Linked DNA regions of Schizosaccharomyces pombe. Changing the gene in region 1 together with any one later gene gives a genetic interaction. Each region holds a gene or a part of one and is shown on either strand. Other genes may lie near its edges.

What was found.
Region 2: mutations in set6 (region 1) and nas6 together harm fitness less than expected from each alone (positive genetic interaction), as found in Schizosaccharomyces pombe (one large-scale study listed by BioGRID).

What each region holds. Positions count from the first base shown.
Region 1 is NC_003423.3:3,642,159-3,648,635, forward strand, and holds set6 (histone lysine methyltransferase Set6), read right to left. Parts: upstream 3,382-6,477; 5' UTR 3,285-3,381; coding exon 3,206-3,284; exon of another isoform or gene 3,168-3,205; coding exon 3,028-3,167; intron 2,893-3,027; coding exon 1,660-2,892; 3' UTR 1,635-1,659; downstream 1-1,634. Other genes in the region: rpp201 (ribosomal protein P2), read left to right, coding at 1,031-1,339, 1,403-1,426; leucine carboxyl methyltransferase Ppm1, read right to left, coding at 3,501-3,782, 3,832-4,100, 4,157-4,280, 4,334-4,591; karyopherin exportin-T Los1, read right to left, coding at 4,987-6,477.
Region 2 is NC_003424.3:2,335,044-2,340,314, reverse strand, and holds nas6 (gankyrin), read right to left. Parts: upstream 2,196-5,271; 5' UTR 2,141-2,195; coding exon 2,036-2,140; intron 1,898-2,035; coding exon 1,298-1,897; 3' UTR 1,003-1,297; downstream 1-1,002. Other genes in the region: rpp40 (Rnase P subunit), read right to left, coding at 40-96, 147-294, 339-431; protein mug68, read right to left, coding at 2,734-4,281; flippase Neo1, read left to right, coding at 4,953-5,271.

The DNA of each region.
Region 1 (6,477 bases):
AGCGGAATTTTTGTAGTTGTCAAAGCACCGAATGGTGGGAGCATGATACGTTTTTATACCACACGACAAAAATGGAAACGTTTGTGATGTGAGCAAAGCTATGATGATGAACTTTGATGTATAGCTAATACTCCGATAACAAGCCGTCCCGTCCGTCGAGTAGGTAAGGTTTATTGGTTTATCTATTATATAATGTAATTTATTTTGCTAGATCTTTGCAAGGGACTACCTACGGATAGTTTTGACGGCTTCGCAGTTAACAAAAAACCGGATACGATTGGCTTAAAATTGCAAATTGTCCCAAATATGAATAAAATGTTGACAGCCATAAAGATTTCGCAACCGTGCGAAATTTTTTTTTTCTAAACACAAAATTATTGGAGAAGAATCCGTCATTTATCAATTACGAGTATATCGTCTTATCGTTATACGTGTTTTCGATTAAGTTAATCTAAAATTAAATTAAGCGATAATTAGGTTTTGTAGATTGAAACATTTGTTAACATGGGCACCGCTGACATTACTATAAAAAAAGACGAAAAAAAAACAATTGCCCATTGTTACCCATAATAGGAGGAATGAAATGAAAGTAAAGACAATTGAGAAAATTTATTCAATAGCTTATACAGCTATTTCAAGTCTCGGCCAGTAAGTTAAGCACTTGAAGTTATATTTAAACCGTCAGTTTACCAAACATTAATATGTTTGTTTCAATTCCCATTGATAAACTCAAATACGTGTATGACATTAATTATGCCTCTTTGTGCATACGGTTTTCTTACTATTATAAAAATAATTAGCACGCCCTTAACTAACAACTATTTAGGTTGATTTGAACTTGTAGAAAAAGCTTGTAAATATCGTGCTCGTCAACTAAACGAATATAACAAACCTTAGAAATCATCGCAGCATTCCACTCAAACACATACCCTAACCTAACTCGAAAACCAGTCACAAAAGTTTCGAGTCCCTTAGTGTTGTGAATGCTTAATACTTTCTGCCATCAACACGCACTGCACTCCTCGTCAAAATGAAGTACCTTGCAGCTTATTTACTCTTGACCGTTGGTGGAAAGGACTCCCCTTCCGCTTCTGATATCGAGTCTGTTTTGTCTACTGTCGGTATTGAAGCTGAATCTGAGCGCATTGAAACTTTGATCAACGAGCTTAACGGTAAGGATATCGACGAGCTCATCGCTGCTGGTAACGAGAAGCTTGCTACTGTCCCCACTGGTGGTGCTGCTTCTGCTGCTCCTGCCGCCGCTGCTGGCGGTGCTGCCCCTGCTGCTGAGGAGGCTGCTAAGGAGGAAGCCAAGGAAGAGGAGGAATCTGATGAAGACGTAAGTTAATTTTAGATAAGAAGCATTCTTTGTTTCTCAAAAGCATCTTACTAACAATTTTAGATGGGTTTCGGTCTTTTCGACTAAACCAAATGATCCCTTGTTTTCATTACGCTTTCATAAAAATAAATCGCCGTGTTGGTTTTATTTTACCAATTTTTTTTTAGTGCTCCATTCGTAATAGTATTTTTCGTTTGATAAATGTAATTTTAGCTTACTTTAAATGTTAATGTACCACTGGTGCCCCGTGTTGTTGATTTGAATATAAGAGACTTTACACTTGTAAAGCAAGTCGTTGTTTCGAGAATAATAAATTTTATTTAGTATGTTACTAGGAAGTCTTTACAAGCGGCCCATAATTTTTCTTCAAATGCTTTCAAATTGTTTTGAACATGAAGCATGCAATAGTCTTTACAAACCTCAAATATTTCTTTAATGTCATTTTCCACATTTGAACAAAATGTGGTCGAAGGATGACTTATTCTAACTGCTTGCTGTAGCCTTTGAGCCCTATCTAAAAGCCACAAAACAAAATCATCAAGGGAAATAGAATAGCGGCCCAAAATACAGTGGTGTAACCCTCCAAATGATGGTATATTCTTCAATAAAAATAACGAGTTATTGGTAGGTACAGTCTGCTGAGGTTGAGAGCTGGACGGGAACTCCATCTCCAAAGGTTTGTCATTAGGAAACATTAAATGCTTTACTTCCATAGCCACTTGCTTTCCCAAAAGCAGTAATTGATACTCATCAACCACATGAAGTGCATCCAAAAATTCATCAGCACTACTTTTCAGATATAAAGCGGCAAACGCACCATTGAAATTAGACTCATCAAGCATTCCTAGTTTAATATGATGTAAAAGATTGGACCAAGGAAAAGCGGTTTGTTTCCAACCACAGGACCATAAGTCCCTGGCCATTGCTAAATTTTTCATAAGCGATTTAGAGTTGCGAAGTCGTCCCATCCATTTTGAACCATCTGTTTCTTTTGTAGTGTGGTCGTTCTCACACCTTGGACAATAACAAGAAAAAAAATACTTTTTGAGAAGCTGTTTCTGTCTGATTGACTTTGGAAGTCGAATATCAATGTATGAGATGAAAAGCTGTTCATCTTTCTTAATATCACGTTTAGAAACAAGCTGCACAATTGCACCATCGAAAATTATTTGGCAATTTGGATCACAAGAATGATTTAAGCGACAGAGTATAGTATCTAAACACATACCCAAAGAATCGAAAGACGAAGTTACAAGATTCATAGCATTAACAGCTAGCCTACAGAAAAGTTTTTGAAACAGTTCTGCTTGATAAATTTGGGTATAATGTGAGGCTGCAGAAGCAATTAATTCTGCATCTGACCAACTGGAGGATACAGCTTGAAATTCGTTTTGGTGTCCTTCCATAGGTTCAATGATAGCAGGATTTTTTTGCCATAAGAGATACAATCGTATTAATAACCGACATACAGAAGGTAGTATACCGTTTTGCTTTGACGCTTGTAGTGCTTTGCATTCTAATTTGTGGAAAGGCCAGTCTGCTTTCTGACAACCCTAAAAAGCCTGTTAGTACTAAGTTAAAATGAGTAGTCGCTTTTCACGAACAAATTGAGTTTGTAATTGAAAGCTCGATAAGCAAATTCGCCAGATTGTAAATCTGTTTTACGAAAACATAATAGACTTGTTTACCTTGGAACAGTAATGAATTATTTTACATGCCGCGCAGCGTTGCGTTTTCACCTTCTCTTCCGTGCAAGTCGAGCAAGTGCGCGTCAGATTAGCAGAATCTAAGCTCAAAATATCAACCCTTTTCCGAATAATTATCTTTCCTAAAAGATTTAGTGGTTACTTCGCTTTTTGAGCATACCAATTGGGATATTATCTGTAGCAACGGTTCCTTTTCCAAACTCAGGTAAAATAACAGAGGCAATCAAAGGGGCGTCCATTATCAACAATTGCTATCAGGCTTCAGAGTAAAAATTCAAATCAAACATGAGAAGTGTGCTTCAATGGTTTCGAATACTTATATCTAATGGGTTTCTTGTTGCATAAGTCCGTTTCGACGACGAACATATTAACGAACTGAAAGGTTACATACGTAATTTAAAAAAAAGTATAAAATTGAATTTATCTATAGCAGATGTAAAAGTTATATAATTTGATTAAGTTTTTAAATGAGGAAGTTGCAATATTATCTGATTCCAAAGGTTTTCTGTAGCTGCAAAAGTTAAGCAGTAATGCTTTGCTAACAATTGCCATTCTTCCAACTCATCAAGCATTTCTATGCTCATCGTTCTTTTCTTTTCTTCTATGGGTATCCAGGTTTCTTCAATAGTTAAAAAATCTTCTGCAATTACTTCCGAGTATCCATAATCAAGAAACCTCATCCTTTGCTGCTCAGTTGTCTCATAACAATCGAGTGTTTTAAGAATCACTCCTCTTGCCTAAATTTTGTTAGTTCTTAATCTGTGAAATGATATGCAAGCATCGTACAGAAAGATTAGCCTTCATCATTTTTCCAAAGTTATCCATCCCCTGAATAGGTTCATAAACAACAATGCCAGAAGTTGCAAACATATTTTGAAACCACCGGCATAATGAACTAGCTTCTTCAGGTTCCAAATAACACAAACAACATTCTGACAGAACAATAGTCGGCAAAGAAAAATCTACAAACCCAGGAAATCCTTTATGGACTATTTCTCGAATATCGTAAGAATATATGTCCAAAGAGCCAGAAACTAAAGACCCTCCAGAAATGTCTTTTATGGTCAGCAAATTAATAATTTGTAAGTCAACTTTTCTAAAATTAGCTCACCCACAACATAATCCCCGATGTTTTGCTTTAACGCTTCATGCTTCTCAATTGTTCGAATTTTCCGTATACAATTTGGGTAAAAATCGAATTCAATAAATTTTAAATTTTCAGGTCCGTATTCAGACTTACTGTAGTTAGTAAAGACTGCATTTATCTTTTGTTTTAGCATAAGCATACAATATATCGAAATACTCGAGTATCAGTACCGGCTCCTAGTGAAATAATTTGTTTTTTACCATCAAAAGATTCTATGAATTTTTGAAGAATGTGGTCTATAGACCATGTTCTAACATAGGTTCCTCGATTTATGATAGGAGGTTTATGCGAATTTCGACTAGGACTAAAGAATTTTATAAAAGGATCATGAATATATCCGCTTTTTGTAGCACTCGATCTGCATTTCAAAGCATCCAAATCTGTTTCAGTAATGTCCATTTTAAGAATGCTTAATTCGTAACTTGTTTGGGTATAGTCAATTAATTTTAATAAGAGAAACGATTTTTTTTGTCAGTTTATTTATATTCAAAAAAATAAGACTGATTGATAATAGGCAAGAGAGCAAGAGGTGACGTTTTAAGGAAAGCGTGCACCACCTCAAGAGAACGGACATTCTGAAGCTAAACATCTTTTTATAAATTGAATAATACCGACAGCAGCATAAAACATCTAGACAAAATAATGCTTCCCGTTAGACGAATCTATCAATCTACAGCTCACGATATATTTTACTAGACGTTGCACCACAATGATCCAACAAGTCCGAAATAATCATTTTTATTGAAATGTTTGTATAAACACCCTATGTATAAACCGTGAAAAGCAAAAGCTTCTCATACATTACCACTTTTTAATGCTTGAATAAATTTTTGAAAAAATTGTTTGAATGATCTACTATCCAGATTTGATAAAGCTTGTAAATATTCAGAAGCCATTACGTCCGGAAAGTTGACGGTGGGAAAATACACCGTTACAAGATATGACTTGTATATATCACCTAGCTTTTCAAGTATTATTTTTTGTAATCCAGCCAGTTCCCCTAAAACTACCAAAGACTGACCATCACGGGTGTTAAAATTTGGGTTAACAGGCATTTCAAAACATAATGGTGTCAATGATAAAGTAAAATTTTCGAATCCAGCAATTCCATCCTTACCTCCCCATAAGGAAACCATTTTAGAAACTAAAGCGATAGAACTTTTTTGTGTAGCTGGCTCACCCACCAAGTTTGCAAAATGTAAGATACTGTTAATAAGTGGATCAAAGTAAACCTGATTTTCTTCAGTAAAGAGGATTGATCCAAACCCCTTGTTTAATAGTTGTAGTATAAATGAAATATATGATTTTCGTAAATCGTTTTGCTTGACAGCATCATCTGTTCCTTGTGGAGCGGCCGATAGAGAAGAAAAAATACGCATTAGTAATGTTGGAAGCATACGATTTGTAATCTCCATCATGTTATCTTTGTATATATGTATAAGTTGGCTAATGAATGAAAGAACATCAACCAGTTCATTCATATCGATAGAGTTTAAGAGTATGGAAATTAATTGTGGAACCTTTGGTAACATATCAGGTCCTACAACATTAATAATTCTCCCAGAAGTAAAGCGTACAGCTCCACGGATATCTTCATTAAATCCCATTCTGTCTAAAATCAAAAATATCTCATCTGATGCCTTATTGAAACTAGCAAGCCAAGCGACTTCCTCAGAACCACGGGCAGGAAATCCTTTAGCAAAATTACCGATAGCCATCAGCGAACAATAAACGGAAATAATGTTCTCTAAAGCCGACAAATCACTGGAAAGAGCAGCATTTGCTTTTCCGATAAGTGCATTTATAAGTGAATCACAGTAAAGAGCTTGTTCTTCTGGAGTTAAGTTACCTGAAGAAATTAAGACACCAACAGTCTCAAATAAATAGAGCTGAGAGTTAAAATCACTATTTCTTATGGAGGAATTTAATGTCGGTACTGGCGCATCCATATCAGTAACGGGAGAAACACTTATATTTAATAGATCACCAAGCATGGCGAGAGATGATTCAGTATAATTTACAACTTGTTTCTTAATGCTTTTAACAAATCGATAAAACAGATACCATGCTCTTGGACGAACACGTTCATTTGTGTTATGTATTCCTCTGGGCCCAACAAAGTATTCTATTAAAGCGGGAATAGCCGCAGATTCGTAATCGAAGAAACTAGCGTATCGTACTAATATTTCCATGTACAGAAGCTGAACTAACGGATGAGGATGTCGGCAAACTTGTGAAGTGGTAACTAATGCTAGTATTTGAGAAAGAACAGTCGGAGATTTATC
Region 2 (5,271 bases), on another chromosome or scaffold:
AGAGATATGAAAAGCGAACAGTACCGTAAAATAACTCACCTTGACTTATACATATTTTATTATCATTATCGGATGAAGAAACAATGGTTGCAATTCCTATATTGAAAAAATTAGCTACAAAAAAGTGTTCCTAGAAAGTTTCTTACCAGTATGAATAAACGTTGAATATAAATCGGGATGTAACAGCAGAGCGGGTGAGCCAGAGAATTCATAAAAACTAAGATCTTGCACTATTTTCGTTATTGATCTAATTGCTTCTTCAGAGGCGTCTTCTACTGGCAACAAAATATCTAACTAAGTTTTATTATTAGGATTAAGATATAAGCGGATCTACATACCTTTCCATTATATGCATTCTGTAAAATTTCGTGCTCAGTATAATTTTTTTGATATATCTCGTCCTTTAATTCTTTAGTAAAAGCACAGTTCATTTTAATCGTATCTTTTTATTCATAAACTTTTCAGAAAGAAACGCAAAACTATTCTTTCCATATAAAAAAAGACACAGCGCTTCTGACAAGTGTTCATGAATTAGCAGGGAGACTTTGATGATACACCCATCAGCTCATTGTTACTTCATCTTAGCTGTATTAGAAAATATCAGATCAACAAGCACAATATCAAATTCAATATAGATCGTCAATTATATTTAGGCAATTTTCAATTTTTTCAAGTGTAAATAAATTTATTCGTATATAATTTATGACTCTTATAAGTATATTGAAGTAATGAACTGAAGAAAATAATTAAATGTTTTCATTCGTTCTTTGTATTTCACTCAGTATCATTGAAAAAGTTATGCAGACGGTAATTCATAAATTAGTTCAAATCGATGAAAATAATACCGACATCTTCAGATTGGCTTGTAGCGAGATTATTTAATAAAAAACATATTTTTTTACAAACCATTTTCCTTTTAAAAATGCTTATCTATCTATTCCTTTTTATTTATTTTTTTTATTTTAAAAATAATATTTCGAAAAAGAGAATGAAAACAATAAATATATCCATGTAAAAAAAATACCAGGTTAATTATTTAAGTAATAATTTTAATTATTGAGTATAAAACATCACTCAGACAACGAAGAGAACATAAGTTAACAATGGTTCTTTTGTTGTAATTTTCATTTCAATAATTGAAGCTACAAAACCACCTTTTCTATATTTTCGTCAAACGCCATGCATTTTTTTTAAGGTCATTAATACGAAATTAAGAGAATTGTATAATTTAAAGCAGTCGCTTATGAGTTTTAAAACCTCACCTTATTTGAACATTAATTTCTCGTAATATATGGAACTAAATTTCAAGGTTTTGCTCTTTGCAAGCTTCTAAAAATTCATTGCAAACAATACGATCAGGGCAAACCTCCAAAGCAGTATGGTTTTCAGAATCCTTACGTAAAGTATCAGCTCCAGCACGCACCAATTCGACACCAACATCTGGATGTCCTTCTGCTAATGCGAAATGCAATGGTGTGAAGCCATATGAATCCGAAGTATTCAAGGGTGCGCGTTGAGAAATTAAGTATTTGACTACTTGAATCTTTCCAACAGCTGCGGCTCTATGCAATGGTGTTTGGCCTTGAAGATCCTTTTTCCTAATAAGTTCTGGGGCCTTATCACATAATAATTGAACAATAGAAAGACGACCTTTTCCAGCGGCATAATGCAAACATGTTTGACCACCGCGAGTCGTTATGGTTGGATCAACGTCGGAACGGTTTATTAGTTCTTCTATTACATTATCAGGTACTGAGCGATTATTTATAGAGATCATTAAAGGCGTCCATCCTGCCTCATCTTTTTCGTCCGGCTTGATATTGGGTTGCTTTAACAAGAAATAAATGGTATTAACTTTACCAACAGAGCAGGCCCAATGGAGAGGTGTACGTTTGTCCTAACAATATTTGTGATTAGTAAAAACAACATGAGTCATTTAGTAGCTTAGTTACACTTGTTATTCTTGTCAATGCATATTCATTTTCTTTTTCGAATTCACAATAGAATAACAATATTAATTATTAGTTTCACATACATCATCTACCGCATTAAGAGAATTCGGATCATTTTGAATTGCCTGCTCCACATATTCTTCTGGACAGTTTTCTTCGATTGCTTTACCTAAACTTGCATAAACCATTTTATGTAACGACTAGATATGATTTTGTTGTAGTTTTATATGCTTGTTCTGTGTTACTTCAGTGGAAAGACTGTCGCCATTTAATGACACAGAGAATTACGAAATACTTCATTATATCCATTTTTAACATAGCATCCTTTGTCTGCAGATTGCCAACATCAATGTATCATTACAAAAACTAATTATTGTTACTGTACGGATTGTTTATATTTCAATTCCTTAATAATTGTTATTTTAATACATATTATCTTGCTATACTATTTATCTTGGTCCGCTTGATAGAATTTGTAAGTACTGTTGGTCTCTTGCTTGTATATGTGCTCATTCCTTAAATCCTTTGTTTGTGAGGTTTTGCCTGTGTTTTGCAGTCATCAAAAGCTGTATATTTAAGCCATCTTCCAAACCGCCCAATTGAAATAAATTAGAATGTCTTAACGTACTAATTATTTCATAACTTTGAAGAACTATATTCTACTGGCCTCAGGAGTTTTACCAAAATCTGTTGTATGCAATATTTTCCTTAAACGATTTACAATTAGAATAATGTGGCCTGTAATAGAAATCAATCAATCGGTGTTTGTGTCCCACAATCTCTATTTGTAAACGATGGACGTGCTCTCCTCAAGAATATCAGTTTTTCTCCAGTCCAAAGGATTTGCATCACTCCAAATTTCCGAGTTTAATGAATCTTCAAACCAACCGTTCTTTATCAAATACTTCGATTTATTTTCTGGTTTTCTGGTTTTTGAGGTTCCCATTAAAGCCCGGCTAGTCTCTTCTATAGCGTAACTGTTAGTATTCGAGAAACCTGAGTAACTTTCGTCTTTTTTTTCATTGTTAAATAACTGGGGCGATTTCGTTTTACTGCTGAGAATTAGAGAATGATTTCCCTCATTATCATTGTGACCTGAAGATGAATTGTTAACATGAAAACCAACTTTTGGTTGACGTGAATTACTCTGTACAACACCTCCATATGCCTTATCTTGGGAACCCCTGTCCTTGAGGGCTCTCTTAATTGCTTTCTTCCTAAGCTTTTCTCCACCTTTTTTTAAATTATAATCGTTGAGAGCATTAAAAGAGAAGGAATTTGCCAGCCGCTCATAACTTACAGTCCTTTTATTTTTCGGAGAATTTTGATTTCTTTCCAAATTCGATGTCTTTAAATTCTTTATATTGATAGTTTCTCTTGCACATTTTGTTATAGGTCCATCATTCATCTTGTTTGTAGCGGTCAATTCATTGATTTCATGGTTTTCCATTGTGCAAGAATTGAGTGCATCGAGATTAGTTGGAAATTTAACTGATGTTTTGTGTTTGCGAAGGATATCGTTGTTTTCTTTTTGTGAAGACTTATTCATTACATCTTCTGTTTGCGTTTCCGCAGTGCCAAGTTTACTGATTTTTATTTTCTGCATCTGGTTGCCTTTTTTCGCTTTCGGTTTTATTCTCTCATAGTTGGGGGGTTCAGCTTTTCCCTTACAGCATGTATTAATGATTTTTTCTTTCACTGGACTATCCAATCGCTCATACTGCTCAGGAATATAATTTTGTTCGCCGTTTCCATTATCCTCTTCTGATTTTTTTTCACTTTCTCCCGAATCCAAAGATAAACTACTCTCATTTCGTTCACTTTCAATAGAATGTAAATTTGAATTTGCAAAATGAAGTCTTTGTTTTTCTAAATCAAAAGATGCATCCCCAAATTCCATGGGACTTGCGTTTTTTTTTGCAGATATCTCAGAATGATATAAAATATCGTTTTCTTCATTGATTGTATAGTCTTGGGCTGATTCTCGTACAAGTTTTAGCAATGAATTAATTTTTTTCTCCTTTGATATTGATATCTCCTTGTAACAATTGAAAATTTCGAGCTCTGTTTTTGCTTCATTCGAACTTTTAATGTGTTTGACATATATGTTTTCCTGCTTAGATAGTTGTGGTTTTAAATTGGATAAGTATTCAGTAATTGCTTTGGTCAGTTTTAGTAAAAGTTTTTGTTGACTCTCGTATTTCTCCAAAAAAACATCCACATATTCGTAAGTGTTATCTTCCATTTTTAAAAGGATTTTTTCAATTTGAGTGATTTCATCTTTAAAAATTCCTTTCCTCAGAATGTCGAACATATTTCTCGTATTCATTCGTTCTAGCAGGTCTCAGATATTTATTTATTTGAAGAAACTTTAAACAAATGTTTAAATGTTTCTTTATTAAGATTGATAGAAAATAAGAATTGAAATTATGTAGTGTTTATTTGTACGTTTATGTTAGTATTTATTTGGTGTATCAAATCTATTTTATTTACAATTTATAAACAACAGCACAAGTCAAAACAACAACTTTCAATAGAAAGCTTTACGTTTATAAAATGAAACATATTAGTTGTTCATGCATAATAAAAATACGTTTTATAGTCCAAATACAATTGTTTTTACAAAGCTTAAAAATAGCTTACCATTCTTGTCATCAGATACTAATTGATAGTTCTAAATTTAAAATTTTGTTTGATTGCTAAATACCGATGACCATGAAAAGTTATTTTCTTTAGAATCCTTGCTTTGTTATTATTTTTTTTATAATTACTCAAAAACTATTAACTTTATAACTGCGCAAATTAGTTGTTGTTACTGATATCCTCTTAGCTTATCGTTACCGCCTTAAACCGAACCGAACATTTGGGAAACTTACAGGTTGGTTAATACCAAAGTATTTGAATTAGTATCTTTAAATTTTTAAATTTTTATATATTTAAAGTGTGGTTCCAAATTTTGCAAAGCGCACTGCTTTCCATTAGCCAGTGTCGCAGTTCACTATGGACTCAAGACTAAATCGAATTCAGTCCAAGATGAAACTGTGGATAAAAGATAAAAATCTGAGCAATCCTTCTATACCACTTAAAGTGCTCAATAAATCGTTTAGGTCTAGTCGCCAGTCTTCAGTTTCAAATGGCCATGGATTGTATTCATTAGATAGAGACGAAACTGAATCTCTTATGTCCAGTCATGAAGCCAGCAATGCAGGTATATCGTTGGATTCTTCATTTAGGGTAATTCAGGTAGGGCAACCTGAACCGCAATACGGCAATAATGCTGTTACTAATACTAAGTATGATCTGTTTACTTTTTTACCAA